4 linked regions of the Arabidopsis thaliana genome follow. The protein of the gene in region 4 interacts with the protein of the main gene of each other region in a pairwise test. Each region holds a gene or a part of one and is shown on either strand. Other genes may lie near its edges. The genes, in order: AT5G02050, AT5G05120, FRS5 and AT3G07500.

What was found.
Region 1: the proteins of AT3G07500 (region 4) and AT5G02050 interact in a two-hybrid assay, tested with the Arabidopsis thaliana proteins (one large-scale study listed by BioGRID).
Region 2: the proteins of AT3G07500 (region 4) and AT5G05120 interact in a two-hybrid assay, tested with the Arabidopsis thaliana proteins (one large-scale study listed by BioGRID).
Region 3: the proteins of AT3G07500 (region 4) and FRS5 interact in a two-hybrid assay, tested with the Arabidopsis thaliana proteins (one large-scale study listed by BioGRID).

Annotation. Positions count from the first base shown.
Region 1 is NC_003076.8:401,507-406,535, reverse strand, and holds AT5G02050 (Mitochondrial glycoprotein family protein), read left to right. Parts: upstream 1-2,189; 5' UTR 2,190-2,291; coding exon 2,292-2,576; intron 2,577-2,684; coding exon 2,685-3,043; intron 3,044-3,137; coding exon 3,138-3,297; 3' UTR 3,298-3,557; downstream 3,558-5,029. Other genes in the region: AT5G02070 (Protein kinase family protein), read left to right, coding at 1-641; AT5G02060 (Uncharacterized protein family (UPF0497)), read right to left, coding at 762-956, 1,058-1,190, 1,498-1,628; PRA1.A1 (prenylated RAB acceptor 1.A1), read right to left, coding at 4,065-4,168, 4,283-4,354, 4,443-4,531, 4,613-4,699, 4,797-4,875, 4,969-5,009.
Region 2 is NC_003076.8:1,508,732-1,513,200, reverse strand, and holds AT5G05120 (C2H2 and C2HC zinc fingers superfamily protein), read right to left. Parts: upstream 1,970-4,469; coding exon 1,364-1,969; downstream 1-1,363. Other genes in the region: AT5G05130 (DNA/RNA helicase protein), read right to left, coding at 1-1,085; AT5G05113 (uncharacterized protein), read left to right, coding at 3,211-3,468; AT5G05110 (Cystatin/monellin family protein), read left to right, coding at 4,436-4,469.
Region 3 is NC_003075.7:17,905,402-17,912,110, forward strand, and holds FRS5 (FAR1-related sequence 5), read right to left. Parts: upstream 4,343-6,709; 5' UTR 4,004-4,342; coding exon 1,811-4,003; intron 1,475-1,810; coding exon 1,301-1,474; 3' UTR 1,113-1,300; downstream 1-1,112. Other genes in the region: FRS9 (FAR1-related sequence 9), read left to right, coding at 1-789, 871-1,038; CSLD4 (cellulose synthase like D4), read right to left, coding at 4,695-6,005, 6,114-6,709. UniProt on the Arabidopsis thaliana protein: Putative transcription activator involved in regulating light control of development.
Region 4 is NC_003074.8:2,389,353-2,394,707, reverse strand, and holds AT3G07500 (Far-red impaired responsive (FAR1) family protein), read right to left. Parts: upstream 2,493-5,355; 5' UTR 2,322-2,492; coding exon 2,321-2,321; intron 1,776-2,320; coding exon 1,324-1,775; intron 1,200-1,323; coding exon 999-1,199; 3' UTR 930-998; downstream 1-929. Other genes in the region: AT3G07510 (maternal effect embryo arrest protein), read left to right, coding at 133-140, 222-813; AGD11 (ARF-GAP domain 11), read right to left, coding at 3,058-3,519; AT3G07480 (2Fe-2S ferredoxin-like superfamily protein), read right to left, coding at 5,203-5,355.

The sequences.
Region 1 (5,029 bases), on a different chromosome or scaffold from region 4:
TCGAACATCTCCATGGCAGTTCAGACCGTACTTGGAAACCGCTGACTTGGCGGCGCAGACTGCAGATTGCATACCAAACCGCTGAAGGATTAGCTTATCTCCACTCCGCAGCACAGCCACCCATTTACCACCGCGACGTAAAGTCAAGCAATATTTTGCTTGACGAGAAGCTAAACGCCAAGGTTTCAGACTTTGGGCTGTCAAGACTTGTGGATTTGACAGAAACCGCTAATAACGAGAGCCATATCTTCACGGGTGCGCAAGGTACATTGGGATACCTCGATCCAGAATACTACCGGAATTTCCAGCTAACTGATAAGAGCGATGTGTACAGCTTCGGGGTTGTGCTTCTGGAGATGGTTACATCGAAGAAGGCGATAGATTTCACTAGAGAAGAGGAAGATGTGAACCTGGTGATGTATATTAACAAGATGATGGATCAAGAGAGATTGACTGAATGCATCGATCCACTGCTGAAGAAGACAGCTAACAAGATTGACATGCAGACGATACAGCAGCTCGGGAATTTAGCATCTGCGTGCCTTAACGAACGGAGACAAAACCGACCTTCGATGAAAGAGGTTGCTGATGAGATTGAATACATCATCAATATTCTGTCACAAGAGGTTACTGAGACATAGCTGTCTTAGAAAATTACCAAAATGACTTGTACCCTTGCCCTGTTTCCGGTTATGGATTGGAGAAAAACAATTCATAGAAATGGATTTTTGTAAAATCATTGAGATGGGTTTTGTTTGATATCATATCAAGATCCAAAACATGGTATGAGACGATATAGCAGCTAAAAACCAATTAAAGAAAGATAAACCAACAGAAATCTGAAACCTATCGCAAGAGAGAGCGGGTTGCTGCCTGCAAAACTCAGTGTCTTTAGTGAATAAAACAGTAACTCCTGCAGAGGAACACGCGGCTGCAAGAGCGAGAAGTGCAGTGACCTGCAGAATTCCAAAAGAAACCTATCAAACAAATAACCTTTAAAACAACAAGACACCAACAGTGAATAAGCATATAATGAAATGGAAGATAAGTTTAATACCCAATCACCAACAGTGAAAAGGCTCAATAAGATAGGGCTTCGTAAATCACTTTTTCTCCTTATCGCATATACATCAAGACACGCAAGTCCAAAGCTCCATATCAATTGAAGACCCATAGATGCGACTAAGAAGCTGAAATCATTGGCAAAAGCAATCTATCATCATTTTGTATCTTTTGAGATAACCCCATACAGTAATCGAAATATAGAAATAATTCCATTTCCACATATTTTTTACCAAACAAAGAAAAAAATCTTGTCAAAGTTTCAGGCAAATGTTAATCATACACAATTACTAGTTCAGTTAGCTCTATCTTCAAAAGTTTATCCAAGAAAAAACTACAAAGTCAAGATTTTTGATACATCAGTGTCCAATGTCTTCAACTAAACTAAACTAAACCAAAACACCAAGACCAATGAGATTGAAGATGGACAATTACCAGAAAGCAGTGTAATTGGAAAAGTCGTAAGAAGAAACCATAACACCAATGGAAGCAGCAGCAGTTGCACATTGCCCTAGTCTCAGTATCAACCCACTCATTGTTCCAGGACTCCCAATCATCTTCTTCATTGATCAGAACCCAAAAACAAACACAATAAACAGAACAAAACCAAGACTTTCTATCCTGTTCCTCACCAAAATCCCCGGGAGAAAAAAATCGCTACTTTACAGGAAATTGATCATAAAAACCCTAAACCCATAATTTTATTCAGGAAAATTTCACAAACCCAAATCTCAAAAGTTGACTTATGATCATAAATCGTACGGAATTGGGTAATTAAGAGCATCGCCACCAGAAAACCAACATTAAAAATGACAACTTTTTTGAGCTATATGAATTTAAAAACAAGTATCTACCACAAATTTAATTCTGCTTTTTTGGAGGAACAATTATGTTTCCCTTAACTTCAAGCCAACGATATTAAAATTGAAGTTGGAAGAAACAGTGACGCAATTCTGACGCCGGCAAGAGCTATTTTGTTCTTCTCTCCTTTTGCCTTTAAGGACGTGTCCACACACAGACATTCCTCTCTCACTGTACGAATGACCAATTCCTTTTAATATATGGGCTTCTTATGGCCCATTAAGTAATTGGGCCTTATTAAATGGCTTTTTATCTCCTACATAATGCTTTGCACTATAAACAAACCTTAAACCTCTCTTCTTCTCTCAGTAAAACCCTCATTTCTGTTTCTCTTTTCACTTTTAAGGAAAACCCTAGAATCCTCAGAAATGGCGTTGAGCACCGTGTTTCGTCGAGCTTCGTCAACAGTAGCCAATCTTGCTTTCCGTGCGGGTAGATCTCCGGTTAGCTTCCGCAGTGGCGCTGTCTCCGTCGAGAGGCTGATTCGTGGTAGCCACCAGATCAGGCGTGGATCGGTTAGTTCATTCTCAGTCTCGAGCTTTTCGACGGAAAGTGCGATCTCTAAAACAACCGCCGACGAGAATCTTGTTAGCGTTATCGAATCTGAAATCGAATGCGCCGTCGCAGAGGAGGCTCCTCATGACACTGACTTCGTAAGTTCTCTCTTTCAATATACATGATTCTTCTCGAATTCATGAGATTTTAATATTTCTGGGGTTTAGAACAATTGTATCTGAATTAGAAATGTTTTGGAAAAACAGTTGGAAGATAAGCCAGAAGGGTTTCCATTTGAAATCATTGATAATTCAGGGGAGAGAACTGTGTTGCTGACAAGGAAATTTGAGGATGAAACCATCCAAGTGGAAGTTGACTCTGTTGCTTCTTATGATGATGAAGATGAAGAAGAGGAAGCAGAACCAAACAATGAAGAAGACGATGAAGATCAAGAGAGCTCGGGTAAAGTCCGGGTTCCGATGGTTGTTAGTGTGCAGAAAGGTGATGGTGTGTGTCTTGAGTTTGGAGTCAGCGCATACCCGGATGAGATTGTGATTGATAGTTTATCGATCAAACAACCGCAAGGATCTGATAATGACCTTGCTTACGAAGGACCTGACTTTGAGTAAGTTTACTTCAATGATAGTGAGTTCTTGTTTGGAATATATGAGATTGGGGTATTGTTATGTGATTGAATTTGGTTATTGTGTTATGTGCAGTGACTTGGATGAGAATTTGCAGAAGGCTTTCCACAGGTACTTGGAGATCAGAGGTATTAAACCAAGCTTCACTACCTTTCTGGCAGATTATGTGGCCAACAAAGATAGCAGAGAGTATCTTCAATGGCTCAAGGATCTCAAGTCTTTTGTCGAGAAGTGAAACTGAACTTTGTTCAGAGAATAAGAGCGAGATTTCTTTTTGCTTTAAACTTTTGAGTTTATCTTAGATGAACTTGATATCACCATGAGCAATCGTTGAAAGTGAGGTCATGTGTTATGCTTGTTAACAATATTGCTACATGTTTTTAATGGGTTTTTAGGTACTTTGCTAGATATAAGATGCAACTCTTTCGAGTGTCAGTTGGAAAAAATGTTACGACCTCAATAAAGTATAATTCTTTTGCATTTTCCCATTGCCTATTCTTATCCGAAAACTCTCGGCTAAGTAGTCAAATCATTTGTTTATTTTCCATTTCTTGTTATCTCATTATTATTGTTACTAGACCTCTCAACCCAAAAAAAGAAAGAAAAAAATGCAAGCTATTAAACGATTCTAGGACTTTACACAAAGGGTTTTGTGTTAGAACGAAGAACAACAAAGCTAGCTTTACAAGTCTTTAGCAAAAAAAAGAGAGGATTTTGCTAGCAAAAAGAGCTCAGAGCTCAAATCTCAAATCAAAGAAAAAACAGATGATCCCAGTCATTGAGCAACAAATCCAGATTGAACATCCATAGTACAGTGTTAACGAAACCGGGTTTATCTTGGAGAAAGGCAGTAAGTTTGGTCTTTACAGCGTTATGTCCTCAGCAGAACACGATCATGGTGGTACAAGCTGCCAAAGACTGTCAACATTTCAGAAAATCTAACCATCCAGTTAAGCAAATAGATGTTAGACTAAGAAGAAGATATTTCAAACTTACATTACTCTAAATCTCGCTGTAGTTACGCCATACTGCTCGGAATTCCTCCCTAAATGTGTTAAAACGTGCCTTCAAGTTCGGTGTTCTCAAGCTTGCATGAAGAATTGTTGCTGTAACACAAATTACAAAAAGAGGTTGAGTTTATAAAAGCCTATATGTGGATTTTTGAAGTAGAGTGAGAGAAACTAAGTTATGACTTATGAGGATTTGTGTAGACTGCATACCAAGATGTGCAATGAGTAGCGCAACCGAGACTCTGAGCAAACCAGAGGAAATATACCAAAGAGCAAAACTCACTGCGAAACAAAAAAAAAACTCCAAATCATGTTTTTTACGGTTTTTGGAGATATATTACATCAAATGAAAATATACAAAGCCACATACCAAGTGAGCATGTCAAGACAAAAACCCAACGGGGTTGACCACATACATGGATTGCTCTCTTTGATGATGGACGCCCACGAGTGACAGGTCTAAAAAACACAGATAACATAGATGATAATAAGCAAGGAGTAACAAAGAGTATGAAAGGCAACAAAGAGAGATAAACATACGTCAAAGGAGGTCTCATTTTAGCAGCTAACTGTGGAGAGAATCTTCTGACGGTTCGTGTCGCCTTCTCACTAAAAGAACCTGCAAAGCTGTAGACAAGAATACTCAATATGGATCTACTGATTCAAGCATATCCACTAGTCAAAGCTCTGAGAGTTTAAAAACAAAAGGAAGATGAAGAAAAACCTGTCATTTAGAAATGCCAAACTTAATGCTGTCAAAAGCGCAGCGAAGATCGCTAAAGGCCTTGTAAGGACTCCCAATCCTGAGAAGTAAAATTTGACAATTCTAAGTGAACAAGACATCATTGATAAACAACACAGATGATAATGCTTAGCCACTTCCTCACACCACATACCAAGTATAACGACGATCATGATGAAATAGTTTGTTCGGTAGCTGCATAAACAGATCATCAT
Region 2 (4,469 bases), on a different chromosome or scaffold from region 4:
ATCAACGTTGTCTTTTGAGACACATTCATGCCAACAACATCATCAGTTTTAAGCTTCTTTCGAGTTACACTTTCACTGCTCTTGCCTCTTCCTCTCTTTTTACCCTTCTTTTCAATCTTGTCTCCTTCACCATCCAAAGGCTCTTCGGTTGGCGTACTGGTGGATGCATTGCCATATCTATCAAAAGCTATCAGGGAAAGCAAAGTAAGGGTCTTACCCAACCCCATATCATCAGCAAACACCCCTCCACGCAAAGGATCAGGCCGCTTATCCGAGCGGTAATTCGTCAAAGTATTCAAAAATTCTCCATCTTTCTCCTCCCAAAACGGAGGCAATTCTCCAGATTTCTCTCTATGGAGTAACCAGCCTAATCCTTCCTTCTGATGAGCAAAAAGTTCAGACTTTATCACTTCCCTAGGTGGCTCAGCCGCTACCAATTTCCCCATTAACTTCACATTCTCATCAACAAGTTTAAAAATCTTATCAACACTCCTCTTATCTCCATTTCCCATCTGTTCCTTAACCACAACAGCCTCAGATAACCCAAACGATGTATCTGACTCCGAAATCAATACTAACCCACCTCTAGAAATCGTCGATTTCACAGTAGAGGACGCTTCTAACTTTGCAAATACATGAATTTGACAAGGGATTCTGTACCTATTGGAGTTAGAACGAGTATTGGGTACAATACCCTCGACGACGATCGTGTGAGAATCAATCATCGGCGCGAGAACGGCTGCTACTGTACGCTCGATGTGACCCACTTGCTCAGATCGCGTGTTGAGTACTCTGATTGCATTATTGTCATATACGTTCAAGGGTTCTCGAACCAGACCCACCATCTCTCGACCGTTGATTCGGCCGGAATAGTACTTTAACCCTACTATGTTCGCGATAACAAACCCTATCAGATAAGACTCCGAAACACAGTCCTGAGATTGCTGCTGTGATGGTTCCACCGGAGATTGGAATTCGTCTTCGTTCGCCATGGGAGAGGAAGAGAAGCGTCGAAGAAACTGAGCCATGGGAGAGGAACGATGACGGAGAGAAGAAGGAGCTCGAAAGTATTTCAAAACCCGCATCCTTTCGAAAGAGTGGTTTTTTTTTTTATATTGGTATCATAAAGTAACTAAAATTGAGATTTGCATCTCAAATTCTTATAAATAGAATTTGACACCCCAAAGTCAGAACAATATCAAGTTTTTATTATTATATGAAATTCAAATGCAAATAACAACCAAGTTTATTACAATGTTCAAGTGCACAAGTACTGATTTGACACAAGCCGATAATACTATGCAAGAAAACAAAGGTGAGGAATGAAAGTTTAAGAAATACTTAAAAGGGAAAGATTACAATTTCACAGTTTGAGTGAGAGAGAAAGGGAAGAACCATCATTTTCTTTCTCAGCATCCATCTCTTCTGTTGCATCATTTGGTTCTTGAGGTTGTGGTTGGGTTTGGGAGCTACCAATGCCAAGGCAAAGATCCAAACATATTGGTGACGATAGTGGTTGAGGTTGAGATTGGGGTAGGAATGGGATCCCGGTAAAGGTCCAATCCTGGTTCATTCCTTGACTTGGGTCACTTTGTAGTCCTGCAAAGCTAGAGCTTGAGGATCCCACATATTGGTTGTAGACCATGGACATCTTGTATGATCTATCAACTTTGTACTGAGGCTGTTCAAATCCCGGTGGGAGTGCGTATTGGTTAGGAAATGAATGATGATACGAATACGAGTACGCGTAAAGATCTGGTTCTGGTCGGTTCAAATGCGCCAAAAATGCTTTTTGTTGTTTTTCGACCTCTCTCTCCTTTCTGTGTGCATTTTGATGACCACCTAATGCTTGTGTTTTATCGAACTTCCTAGGACAATACTTGCATTTGTATATAGGATTCTCTATCGATCCGGTGGCGGAGGCATCGTCGCTAATATCACTAGCGTAATTCGAGTCCGAGGACAACATTTCGTTGTCGATCGGATCGGGCTTTTAGAAATTAGGTTTGATGGCTTGAATATGTTATTGCACCCGGATAGGTATTTAAAGATTTAATACTTTGTATGCACTTTTAATATCAAGGAAAGTTATATGTTGTAATGTTATGATGTTTGAATAAGATAAATGCATATTGATGAAATATGGAAAGGGACTTAGTTATAGAGAAACATGATGAAGAACAAAGACTAACTGAAGTACTTAACAAACTAGTTTATCATTTCGACAACTCACACATAACATGTTTAATTACTATATATATTTGACATTTTACATTTGCCGAATTTGCGTAGTAAATTTGTTTCTGAATTAATACTTGTTGCATTTAGCATATTTAGTCAAAATTAGTTCCAAACATTACTGATTTCCAAAGTGAGTAGGGAGATTTTGGTTTTGCCCTATTAAATTTGAGATATAGTTGAAAACAAAATTATTTAGAAGAGTTTAAAGAGTTAATTAGTAGATCTTAATGTAGTCAACTTTAGAAAACAAGAATTAAAGATTTAATTAGTGTCATTATGTAGTAAACTTTTAGTACATAATTATCTCAACTCTTAAATAAAATATTTACCTTTAAGTTTTCTATTGTTTTCCATTGCTTGCAATTTTATTTATTTTCATATACATCACTTTGGAGGTAATAAAAATAAAATTATTTTCATATCAACATAATGAAAATATATATTAAAAGTAAGTAATTAAACTAAATTTGGCTACCTTTTAATAAGAGTAGAGAAACTGATGGAAGCATTTTACCATCAAATCTATAATGCTGATTCTCACATCAAAAAAGCATTAACTTAATAATTTTACTATGACATATAGCACATTTTCAGACTTTCTTGTGATATACATGGCTTAGTATGACAGATTGGATTAAACTTAAGATAATGAACATCTATGTATAGTCAAGGTTTAAACAAGATATTCAACTCTAACATACCAAATTAAAATCTATATAGTTTCTTAGCTATCTTTTCAGCATTAAAATATACAGATTGGATTAAACTTATGATATTGAACATCTATGTAATCAAGGTTTATAAACTTTGTAAACATTTTTATAAATAGCACATTAATTGGAGATAAGAAGAAAGCTATATGTATTATAATTAGGGTTAGTGAACTTTGAGAGCTTGGATTGACGATGAACTTCCGCCGTATCATTGGTTCTAGTAGCCATCTCTTGAAAAGGGTCTGTACAACGGAGTATGCTCCGACATCGATCAGGGTTGATGTACTTGCGAAGACAAAAGTGGAAAATAGGAGGATGGAGAAGAAGAGAATCATGCATGTTCGAGAAACTGCAATCTCTCACTGAGCCGGAGGGAATAGCGCACACGTTAAACAAGTTGATGAGGATTGAGAAGGAGCACGAATCCGTCACCAGAGAAGATCTGAAGCACGTAGATTGGATGGTGCGACGACCTGTCTTTCCTTCAAAAGCAAAGATATTGATTGGTTATTAGCTACCTGAGAAGGAAAAAGGGGACTATAACACACTTTCAACACATTTCGTAAATCGCAACTGGTACCTGAGGCTGTCCAACACACTTTCGCAACTGAAACTCATGGTTTCTTTGATGGATTGTCTTAATGAATAACTTAACCACGGCTTTCAGATTTTCTCTTTGCCTTTTAAATCTCTCTTGTAATTAGAGGTAAAATCTCTAGTGCAATCTTTTGCATTTTGCAATTTGCGCTTCTGAGTCACCTAGGCTTCTTCCTAGTGCAATTTTTGAAGGGTCACTTGCAGCAATGACCTAGTTCGATAATAAAACGAAGCTTATGACACTGTACTATGGAAAATTAAGAAAGTGCGTCTTTGATCGTTTTGAGTAAATGGTTTTGTTTACATAGAACATATAACATGAAATGGTATAGAACAAAGAAAACATTCTATATTGTTTTATTCATTTAATCTCTATATCAAATTACTAAAAAAACACATTTTTGAACATTTTATATGATTTCTACAATCAAAAATAAAATATTGTAATGATTTGTGTTCTATATAAGAAACAAAATTTTAGATAATAGCCAAATTAACCATACAAAAAACAAAGTAATGTTTGTGTGAACAACCTCTCCACTTCTGCTTCCCAAGACAAATTTGACCAAATGCCAAAGACTGAGCATAAGTACCAAACACATATTGAGAAGCAGCACCAAACTGATCTTTGAGGTTGAGAAAAGAAAACTGATCTTTTGCATATTTTTTTTTCAAAGGATTAACAACATTGATTTAAAATGGGCTTTCAGATGAGTCCATAAAATGGGCTTAAAAATCATATTTAATGGCCCATAATATTTGTTTGCTTCTCTTAAACGGAAAGAGTCTTTAACCGGCGAAAGAAACCACCCTCTGACTGTTAAGAAAATTCTCATCGGCGTTTAGATCAGAAACTTGGGAATCGGAGAAGCTCACTGAGAACAATGGATATGAGACGTGCTTCGATGTGTATGATGT
Region 3 (6,709 bases), on a different chromosome or scaffold from region 4:
TTTTATGGAGAGCTGTCTACAAATGAAGGAAGCAGCATTTTGAACTCATTCTTCCAAGGGTTTGTGGATGCATCAACTACAATGCAAATGCTCATAAAACAGTATGAGAAAGCAATTGATAGTTGGCGTGAGAAAGAACTGAAAGCAGATTACGAAGCAACTAACTCTACTCCAGTTATGAAGACGCCCTCTCCCATGGAAAAGCAAGCTGCTAGCCTCTATACAAGGGCAGCATTCATCAAGTTTCAGGAGGAGTTTGTTGAGACCCTTGCAATTCCTGCAAATATAATTAGTGATTCAGGAACTCACACTACTTATCGTGTCGCTAAGTTCGGAGAAGTTCACAAAGGTCATACTGTCAGTTTTGACTCTCTTGAGGTGAAAGCTAATTGCAGCTGTCAAATGTTTGAGTATTCAGGGATTATATGTAGACACATATTGGCGGTGTTCAGTGCCAAAAATGTTCTTGCTCTTCCATCTCGGTATCTACTGAGGCGATGGACCAAAGAAGCAAAGATTAGAGGCACTGAGGAACAACCTGAGTTTTCAAATGGCTGTCAAGAATCTTTAAATCTCTGCTTCAACAGTCTACGCCAAGAAGCAACCAAGTATGTCGAGGAAGGTGCCAAATCTATTCAGATCTATAAAGTTGCAATGGATGCTTTGGATGAAGCTGCCAAGAAGGTTGCTGCTGCAAGTAACAGAACACCTGGAACTAGGCTTCCCAATGGGGAAGCTTACCCGTCCGAGGAAGCTCGAGAAACAGCAAATGCAACGAATCATCCAGGGGTAAGCGAATACTGGTATTTGATAATTCTTTAACATTGATGTCCTCTGTTCCTTGGGAATAAGTACTTACTTCAATGCCAGGGTGAAAAAGAGAGGACGATACTTGAACTGACAGCTGAGTTGGAGAGGACAGGCCAGCGATGTGAAGTTTATCGAGCAAACCTGCTGTCTATTTTGAGAGATATGGAAGAACAGAAGTTTCAGCTATCCCTCAAGGTACAAAATGCTAGACTAAGCTTGAAAGAGTGAGTGCAATCTGCTGGATACATAACATCACAATTCAACTCACGTACTGTGGTTGGTAACTTGGTATGCAAACATTTATGGGAATCAACTTCATGCTCTTACTCAGTAAGGAAATGATTGGGAGTACAATCTATTACAAAGGCTACCTACTGTAAGAACAGGGAAATCCTGAAAATTGGGTCCCTCTTTCAAAAACCCTATAAGAGATATAGTACATGAGCAATATGTTATAGATGAGAATAGCAGTCGGAATTTGTTGCTTGTTTCACAGATTATCCTTCAAGCTAATTTTGATGTTCTGCACTTTGATGGACACTTGTAACTTTTGGTCTTCCATTTCTTTCAAAACTGAAAGTAGGTTAGTCCTGTAAGCTTCGCATTTCCTGTTTGCTAATTCCAGCTCGTTTCTGAGCTGATTAATCTTCTTGTCCATTTCGTCCTGCGAAAGTAGAGGAAATACGGTCATGCAATTAGTCAGCAGTAAAAGCACATAGCAAAATTGAGGACCTTGCAGATTGTACGGAACAAAGGCTCACAATGGCAAAATGAAGACCATACTCTTAACATGCATATGTGAATCACGAGCTCATTAGTCAAACGTTAACAGAGCAATCAGCATTATGGTACCGTCAAGGAGACAAAGCAATGATTGTATTGTATGGGGCAAACCCGCACAAACGATACTTCAAACGTATATAACTATTTTTTAGAGCAACAAATTTGATTGCTATTATATCAAAAAGAAAACAAGTATCGAAAAGAAAATGATCCTCACCTCGGGCTCAGGTTGCGCCAGCACTTCTTGCTGATGTTTTCCACCAGTTACAGAACTCGCTTTAAAATGCCTGTTCGCCATAGTTCTTCTAACTTCCTTATTCATTGCCAGGGACACAGTCTTGGCAGCTTCTTGCAGAGCAACAACTGCGACATCACAAGTATACAGAGATTTTCCAGCTTCTTGCACAAAATTAGAAGCTTTGTGACGTAAGGTGTTGTATCGGACGGTATGAGACTCCAGGTAATTAGCATACGCATGCAAATTATAATCATCAAATATAACACTGCTTTTGGCATTTCTGGTCCATCTTTTTAGGATGTAGTAAGGTGGAAGTGTAAGGAGATTGGTGACCCGGAAGACTGCCAATATATGTCTGCAAATGATGCCAGAGAACTCAAACATCTGGCAACTGCAATTTGCTCTCATCTCCAAAACGTTGAACTTAACGAAATGAGCCTTGTGAGCCTCTCCATATTTCGCAACCTGGTAGGTAACAAGATCCCCATCATCGTCAGCTTTGGATGCCATGAAAGTCAGGGTTCCAACTAGTTCTTCCTGAAATCTCATAAACAACTTCCTTGTGTAAAGTTCAGACGCCTGCTTCTCCATTGGAGATGGAGTCTTCAGAACAGGAGGTGAGTTCATTGTGTCATAATCTGCTTTAACTTCTTTCTCGAGACGACTCTCCAAAGCTTTTTCATACAGCTTAAAGAACTGGCTTAGATTGGTTGAAGCGTTTATATAACCATCAAAATATGAATTGATACTATCACTACGATGAGTTAAGGACATGTCGGCAAAAAAGGTATCACGGAGATATACTGGGACCCACTGCCGGCGATCGGAGTATATTGCTTGTAGCCACTCATGATCTCTTAGCTCATACTTGTCAAGAAGTGAAAACCAGCATCTCTCAAAATCCTCAACCGACTCTGTCAGATTGACACATTTGTGGAAATCTGACTCAAACGAAGGATGCTTGAGGAAGACATGCGACAGCTTCTCCTGACATTTCTTTAAAATATGCCATTTGCAAAAGCGATGGCGGGCACCAGGAAAAACGTGCATGATGGCTGCACGTATAACAGCATCATGATCGGTGGTGATTGAGACAGGAGGGTGGGCGGACATTGCGGCTAGCCACGTATTGAAAAGCCATACAAATGAAGCCTCAGTTTCATTGATGATAAAGGCACAGCCGAAAAGAATGGGTTGGCCATGGTGATTTACACCAGTGAAGGGTGCGAAAGGCAAACGGTACCTGTTGGACCTGTAGGTTGTATCAAATGTAACGGTGTCTCCAAAGTGAGTGAAATCCATTATAGCTTTAGGATCAGCCCAGAAGACATTACCAACAGACTGATCTTCGCTTCCCTGAACAGAATAAAAGAAGTTTGGGTTGTCAGCATTCATCTGCCTCAAGTAGTCAAGAAGAAGCTGAATCTCTCCTTCTATGCTCTTCTGGCGGTTGTTCCTCATATAATTCCTACAGTCCACTTCGGTGAAACCAACCTTGCTGATGCCACCATACTCTTTGATGAGGGCGGACATGATTCTGCGGGGACCCATTCCTGCAGCTTGAAGTGTGTCAATCAAAGTCTTGGCAGGGCCAGAGATTTGCCTGTGGGAACGCAGACAGTGAACTTGGTCGGGAGGAACAAGCTCATGGTTGTGGTCTTTGACAAAGCCAGAGACAAGCCATTTACCGGAATCCTGCATCTTAACAGAGAGGGAGGCTTTGCAACCGACTCGAGTGATGGTCCTGGGACGCTTGATCTCCCTGTCCTTGGTGCGCTTTTCATTCATATTTCTGAAACCTTCTTTGGCACAGACAAATTGCCTCTGGATGATAGCTCCATCACGGCGGGAGCGGCGGGAGGAACTGACACGGGTACTAAAGCCAATGCGACGGGCATACGAGTTGTAGAATGCCTTGGCAGCTTCTTCGGACTCGAATTCAAGACCATCATAGGGCTCGAGATCCAGGAGATCACAAGCCTCCTCCTCCTGGTTGGGAAAGTAATTTCCAGAATTGCCAACAAGACCATTACCGCAAGGCATAATTGGGCTGTCGAGCATATCATCGTCGTCGAGAGCATGGTGCTCAATATCAATAGCGTCGTCATCAACATCTCCGCCACTACTAACTCCTACACCAATATCGAAGTCGAGCACTTCATTATCCATCATATCCTCCTTGTCTTCAGGGATGAATTCTATCTATCTATTGTCCACAACAGGATGAAATAGCTAGCTACTGTAGATAGAACCACTTACAGTCGTGATTTGATTTCAAGTCTGAGATTGAGATTGGGAGGCAGCGAAGACGAGGGAATGCGCGTTCGTGCGCGGGAGAAACCAGAAAAGAAGAGATAAGGGAACTTGTAATTGATTACGTTATAATAACCGAAGAATGAAAAGGAAGATGAGAGACGACGGAGGAGGGAGACTGGGAATAGAGTCGTCGGAGGGCACGGAGGAGGAAGACAGACGGTGCTTCTAATTCTCTTTTTTTAATTTAAGCAAGGCCCATTCCTTCTTCATTTATTTTATAAGGCCCATTCCTTCTTCATTTATAATTTTATAAGGCCCACTCCCTCTTCATTTACTTTATAAGGCCCATCCTCTTTTACGCTTACCGTATGGTTCACTATCAGTTGCGAGTGGAGGAGAGGAAAAATTGACTTTTAAAGACGAAATGATTGATACAAAGGCTGATTTATACAGTCATGACATCTCAATCCAGATATACATGTAGTTATCTGAAAATTTACTACCAGGAACAAAAACAAAAACAAAAAGAAACAAAGATAGTATACGTATTAATTTCTTGTGATTAGTCTACAAAACTCTCAAGTCGCCTATATGAATGCTTTTTTAATTACGGGAATTGAAAACCACCGCCTCCAACACCCTCTGCAGCAGCTGCAGGTCCGGTGTTTGGGTTTATGGCCGTCCACAGTAGAGAGATGGTGATGGCAATGAGACCTGCCCACACAAAAACTATGGTTGGAGTTTTGCCTCTTCGTCCCATCAATCCTTTTGCAAATGGATACAAATGCGCCAACACCCAGAAGCTGAAAAATGCTCCTCCGATTAGCTTGCTCCATTGTGGCACCGCTTGGTATATTGTCCTGATGAACGCCACCACAATCGCTATTATGTTCACCATTGCTATCACTATAGGCGGTATCATCAGCGACGACCATTTCACTATGTACAAATCCGCGTATATGTCTTCATTGTCATCTCCCCCTGACTTGGTCGTCAAGGTAAAGGAGATCTCGATCCCTGCAATCACTTTGAGGACTCCTTGGACCACTGCGTAAAGGTGAGAGCTTGTTCCTGAGATGAGCCACCACTGTTCGTTTCTCCACCATTCTTCCAGCCCAATGCCAGACCACTTGACCTCCAAAACCGCCAATCCAATCAAACAAATGGTGATCATAAGAAGGTAGACCAAGAAGGAGATACTGAGCGTCCGCACGATGAACTGTCCAGAGAAAAGAGAGAATGCCGGAAGAAAACAATAGAGGATGAGAAACAGAGACGTGAAAGGGTATATCCCAACATTGAGGTATGCGAGACGTTGGAGGAACTTGAGACGTTTGGAGGCGAGAATGGCGTTGTTTCTAGAGAAGAAGATCTCAACAGACCCAGTGGCCCACCGCAACACCTGGTGAAGACGATCCGTGAGATTAATGGGTGCAGAGCCTCGAAAAGAATCTCGCTTAGTTATGCAGTAAACCGAGCGCCACCCACGATTATGCATGCGGTATCCTGTGACCACGTCCTCTGTCACCGACCCATAAATCCATCCAACTCTATCTCCCCACTCCGTTTTATCCTCATACCAACAAGAGATTACAGAAACAGACTCTGCGACAGTGGTAGCATCAAGTGGGTCACGAGGGACTCTAAGGGCTCCGGGAGGACGACCGTACTTGACAGCCGGGTGGTCTGCCAATGGACGACCTTGGAACTCTGCAATTGGAATTGACTCAGCTAGGAGTGTGGAGTTCCCAAAGCGCTTGGGGAGTTGTGTGACATCAAGGTCCGGGTCAAAGTCACTGGTGGTTAGAGCCTCTGTTTCTGATTCCTTCTTCTCAAGAAGCTTGTCAGGGTTGGGTGGATCAAAACCATAGAGAGCAAAGCGCCTAAACATAGTACCTGTTCCAACATAAACTGGTCCCTGGAAAAGAAAAACAGAGAATCATTTATTTTTTGGTAAAGGATCTTTATATATATATCTGTCTATAGTTGGTTTGCATTGCATCAAAAATAAGTATATATACAGTACCTGGACACCGTCGAGAGCACGCATATTACCGTCAAAAAATACAGTGTTATTGTTAGCATATCTATCAGAAGGATCGATGCCTTCGAATCTTTGCGGAAACTGAATGTAGCAAATGTCTTCACCACCTCTGTCCATCATAAAACACATCCCTTCTCGTACGGCCTTACAGTTATAGATGTAATGATCACAATCAAGATTAAGGATAAAAGGTCCATTTGAGAGGATAGCAGAGGCACGAACAAGTGCATTCATGGCTCCAGCTTTCTTGTTGTGATCATATCCAGGCCGCTTCTCACGTGACACATACACAAACATGGGTAAACGAGTGTCCGTGTCTGAAAAATCAATGACTTTATCGTCGCTATTTCCAATTAATGGATCGCTGCTAGGTGGTTTCAACATCACCTGGAGAATCCCAGCATGATCACCTTTGGAATGCTCTCGAGTAGAGGCTGCCCAAGTTCCTGGCCAGTGGGTGCCATCTGCCATCCACGTGGCTTTGGGGACTTTCACAGGCTCTGTTGGATCACCTCCGCTCTCCCTCATCTGTTTTAGAGCTTTCATTTCCTCCCTTGCATTAAATGCATCTGACCTCC
Region 4 (5,355 bases):
AAGAAGCTGGTTTGTACAAAGATAGGGAGAGAGAGAGTGTTTCCGACAAGCTCTCTCTTTAAGACAATCCATCTCTTTCTTCAAGCTAAGCCCCGACGGAAAGCTAAACTCATTGCTTAAATAGATTCCCTCATGTATGAGTAAGCAAACCCTCTCTCTTCCCTAAAATCAATCTATCTTTTTTTTAACCATTGCGTTTCTTTTTTTCCCTTTCCGAGCAGATCTGAGCCGAAGGTTAACTACATGACCGGCGCTGAGAACGGCGTGAGAATGACGTCACCAGAGGCGTCTTCAACATCCTCCCTCGCCACCACAAGTGTCCACGTAAGCGCTCTCGACGGACTCGTGAACGTGAACTCTCTCTTCACCATCGCCGTCTTCGTTGGTCTTTCCTTAGCGACTCCAGGACAACACAGCCTCGAACAACGATCCAGCTGCGACGCAAGTGCTGACGTCGCCAAGAAGCTACTGGTCTTCGAAGTCGTCTCCTTCAGCTTCTTCCTCTTCTCCTCTCTTGTAGCTCAGGGTCTTAAGCTTGCCTTAAACCTTCTTAATAGCAAAGACGTCAACGAGATTTTCAGAGCTCACATCAATATCAAGGTTTTGAGATGGGGAATGATGGCTTCTGCTGTCGGATCTGTAATGGGCTGTCTCTTCTTGATGCTCTCTATGGTTAATGTGATTCAGATCCGTCTTGGTTTGCTCTCTTGCGGCAGCAAATCGGCGGCTCAAGCTGTTGCAACGCTCGTCACTCTGGTTTCCTCTGCTCTGCTGATTTACATCTCTACCGCCATTTACGCTTTCTGGCATTGATGCTATGTCAAAATTGGATAATGTCCATGGCTTTGTTTTGATTAGCCAATGTGTAATTTCATCATCAATGCCTTCCAATCTAGTTTTTTGTTTTTTTGTTTCGGAGAATGAAGAATCAATCACAAGATACAGAACATTGGATTATGAGAATTTGATGTTAAGCTTTTATGAACAGAAATGAAGCATTATGTTTGTTGTTTGGTGAAAGTATTGGACTCAATGTCTCTAACACTTTGGATAACACTATTGATGTTAATGGTGAGATGGTTGGAATGTTCTTCCATCTCCTTAAGGACCATATCAAGCTGCTGTTGCAAAGCAGTACAACGCCTTCTCTCTCGGCTCAGCTCTGCACTCAGCTCCCTAATCTTTGCGTCTTTCTCGTCCTGAAAAGTTCATTTGTACAAGATTTCGATATCATTTTTTGAGCTTTATGTTCTTGGTAACTCTTAGATCAATGCCAATAATCACTGTTTTACTTTTACCCCAAGGAAAAGTGCGTAGACGTACCGGTGTTTGAGGGAGCTGAAAATTCCGGCGAACATTAGGGGAGAGAGGCAAGAGAGGATGATTATGCTCTTTCTCAAATTTAGTAACAAGCCATGTTCCGGATTTCTCTCTTTTCACAACAATCAGAGCTTTACACCCTTCTCTTGTTATAGCCCGAGGCTTTCTACTCTCGCTTCTCCGAGGTCTCGACCTACGAAATCCTTCTTTATTACACACGAGTCTGCGCCACACCACAGTCCCATCTCGCATTGACCTCCTGAAAGCATCCACTCGCATAACGAAACCCATGCATGTAGCGTAATTGTCATAGAAAGACTTTGCAGCCTCTTCTGATTCAAACTCCATACCAATGAACGGCTCCACCATTGGAGAAGCTTCATCTGTGACTGTCTTCATTACATCTGAATTCTCCATCATCTCTACATCTTCTTCGGGTAAAGAGTTCCCTTCCACTGCCACAACACAACACACAAACATCTCAACTCAAAACAAATGATGCAAAGCTATGTCTTGTTCACCAAACCAGAAACTCTCTACCGAATACCTAACCAAACCCTAGAAAATCCTTATAAATTACCCACCCCTTTCTCTAACCAACTCTTAGCAGTTCTAATCTACTACATTCAGTCCTACGCTAGATATAGTGGACACTTCTTCCAAAGTTTATCAAATACACAATGGCTCGAAGATAAGCAGGTCCTCAAGAAGTGACTAATGGAAACATAAACCCTAAACTATGTATTCATAAACCCTAATGAATAGGCAGAGAGTAGCAATTTCAAGTGATATTACTCGAATTCTGAACTTCACCAAAGTGTAATCATGCAAGAAAAAAGAGAAAATCGAGTACATACAAACGCGAAATTGGGAATCAGATTCCATAATTTGATAACAAAAGGGAGCGAAAACCTCAAAATCATCGAAACAGATAGACGAGAATTTGAATAATAGATTGAATTATTGAATAGTAGAAAAGGGATTCGATTGAAGTACTCACTTGGAATGAAGATTAGAAAACTCCAAATTGTGTTTTCTTCAGAGAGAGGAAGTGATGATGATGATGATCTCTGAAGCTCAAGTTAGTAACTGGTAAGCGGTGAAGAAGACGACAAGAAAAAACCAAGATCTGGTCATAAATTCATTCCAGTCTCGCCCGTTGGATTACGAATAGTGCGAAACGGCACGTAGTTTATGTCTTGACGTCACTTGAAGAGTTAAACATCATGTAGTTTATAGTTTTTTCTCTTTTTACTTTTTACTTTGACCGCCTGACTAACATATTCCATGAGACACTTTTTTCCATTACTTTGACCTAAATCTTCACTTTAAAGACATAAATTCGATTGTTTGTTTGTTTTTTTGGGTAGAAATTCGATTGTTTGTTTGTGTTTAATCTTTGTAATTTACAAATACAAATATATTTTCATCATTTTATGATTATAAGCTAGATAGTGATAACTTTTTAAGTGCAACACCCAAATATATAAATAATAAAAGAATCATCAAGTGTTCCCGTAGATTCGCATGGTTATGTTTCAAAATCCGAAAAGCAAATTCATCAACAACATTTTTGTAGGAGCATTCAAAACAAAGCTCACAAAGTTTGTTGAGCTTTTTTCTTTTGCAAATCCATTCATCATCGCTTTCAAGGTTTTGCCCTAATAATCATTCCGAAGAAAAAAATACCCAATGATTTTGGGTCTCAAACCCGAACCCGAAAAATGAGTTTTTTTTTTACAAGTTTGATCCTAAGGCGGCAAATCCACCACCTTTCATCATTTGTTTAAACTCTTTGAAATTCACCATGCCATCTCCATCAACGTCAACTTTGCTTATCATCCTCTTGCAATCCTCTAGGGTTCTTCCTTGTTTGAGCCCCAAGGAAGCTAACACAGACCTTAGCTCTTCCACCGTGATGAACCCGTCCCGGTTCTGATCAAACACGTTGAAAGCCTCTCTCATGTCTTCCTCCTCGTCTCTTTCCTCCATTATCGTCTGGTACAACCCTCCAAACTCTTCGATGTCCACGTACCCATCACCGTTGAGATCAATCTTCTCGATCATCTGCACCAAGTCTTTGTCTGGAATGTAGATTCCTAGATTCTCCAATGAATCATTCAGCTCTTGCTTCGTGATTTTGCCATCACCGTTCCTGTCGAACATTTGGAAGATCCTGGCAAGCTCCGCTTGATCCATTCTTAATTGGAGTTTATTATTTATGAGCTTTGAACAGAGAATGAATGAGAACAAAACTAGAATATGGGTTTATAGAGAAGAAGAGAATTAGGGCAGGAGACAAGAAGGACTGCTTCTTAAAGGAAAAGGAGTGGTTACCATTTTAGAAAACTCATTACAACTGTGATCGTGGTCTGCACCAGTTTTCTGTTGAACTGGTCTTAAAATAGGTTTATGTCCTTCAAGAATACACAAAAACTAAAGTCTATCAATAGAGATACACACGGAATCTACACATTATCTCGTATTTTGTCATCTTCAAAACAGTTTTCCGTTAGGATAGTTATTTCAGGTTAAATCTTTTGAGACTCAATTTATGGTATAGACAAATATAATTCAATTCAAATGCTTATCGTCTGTTTGTATATGTTTGGTTAATTTTCTACAAAACTTATTTATTTATTTTATCTACATAAGATGTAACTTATTCTAAGTGGATTTGTTCTATACACTTCTTTTTTTGTCGATTTGAACATGGCGATGTTTCGAAAATAGAAGAGACAACTTGAACAATAATAAAATTAAAATAAAAGAGATAGCCTTTAAAATAGTCAAGGTCTTAATCACTTCTTAACAGATTGATAGTCTGTTAACAGGTTTAAATTATGTTGTATTGCACATCCTTATAAGACTGAGAGTAATGATTATTGTGTTAAGTGCACCACAAGCAGAAATTGATTTTGATATCGACGTTTTCAGGTAGATAGAGATGAGCATCCATTTTTCAGTTTGCTTTGGTTTCGGATTTTGAAAAACGAGTAAGAATTAGAAAACTATTCGCAACATTTAAAGATGCCTAAGCTGTGTTTAGAAACTACTGGTAGGAAAATAATATCTAAACAGTATACTCAATATGTTTTGTTACTGAATCAAACCCTGAACAAGAATCGATCCTACAAACAGAGTTTCTGTTTACAAGGCTCAAATCAAATCTACTAAACCATTGGTATAAGATGCCAGATCCATTCTACCTTATTCCCTTTCCCTAAAAGCAGAAACTGTGATTACAATGCTCAGAGTATATTTAATGTTATCTCAGCCTCACCAAAGATGCAGTGGTTATGAGAATGAAAGATCAAAACTCCACTAATTCTTCTAACTCAACGGAAACACCTCCTTAGACAATTAGACCCGAGAATATAAAGGATGGCCTATTAATCCTAAGCATACCGAAACCGGGAAGATTACTATATGGTCTGTAAAAAGAATCTCATTCCAGTACTAAGAAGTCACATCATTCTATATACTCTCTTTCTCTATGCTTAAAGCTGTTGGCAAATTGAGCTCGAGACCAACAGATATCAACACCAGGTAACCACAATTCAACACAATGTGTTCAATAACCTCCTAGCATTTTCCAATTGCTTTTACCAATCTCTAGATATAACACCATAGTCTCTAACCAATCTAATGGAAGAAGAAGCAACGAAAATGAAATCAAGAAAACAACATTCACCCATACTTGAAGCAGGGAATCGTTTAAACAAGCAGAGTTCTTTACCACATTACAAAATTTAAATGTAAGCAAACGAAAATTACAGATTCAAATGGAGTTATCTTCAGAGTACCGAAATTTCCAAAGCGAATTTTATTAGCCAAATTGAGAACGAACCCAACATTTATGAGATCCTCAAGAACAAAAACTTACGGAATATCCCAAGGCTTAGCTTCAGGGACAGCGACGACCATACCTTGAAGCTCCTGCGTTAACACAACTTGGCAACCAAGACGCGAGTGCTTGTTCAAGATACGGGATCTAGAGCTACGCTTCAGCACATACTCCTCATCGTAAGTACG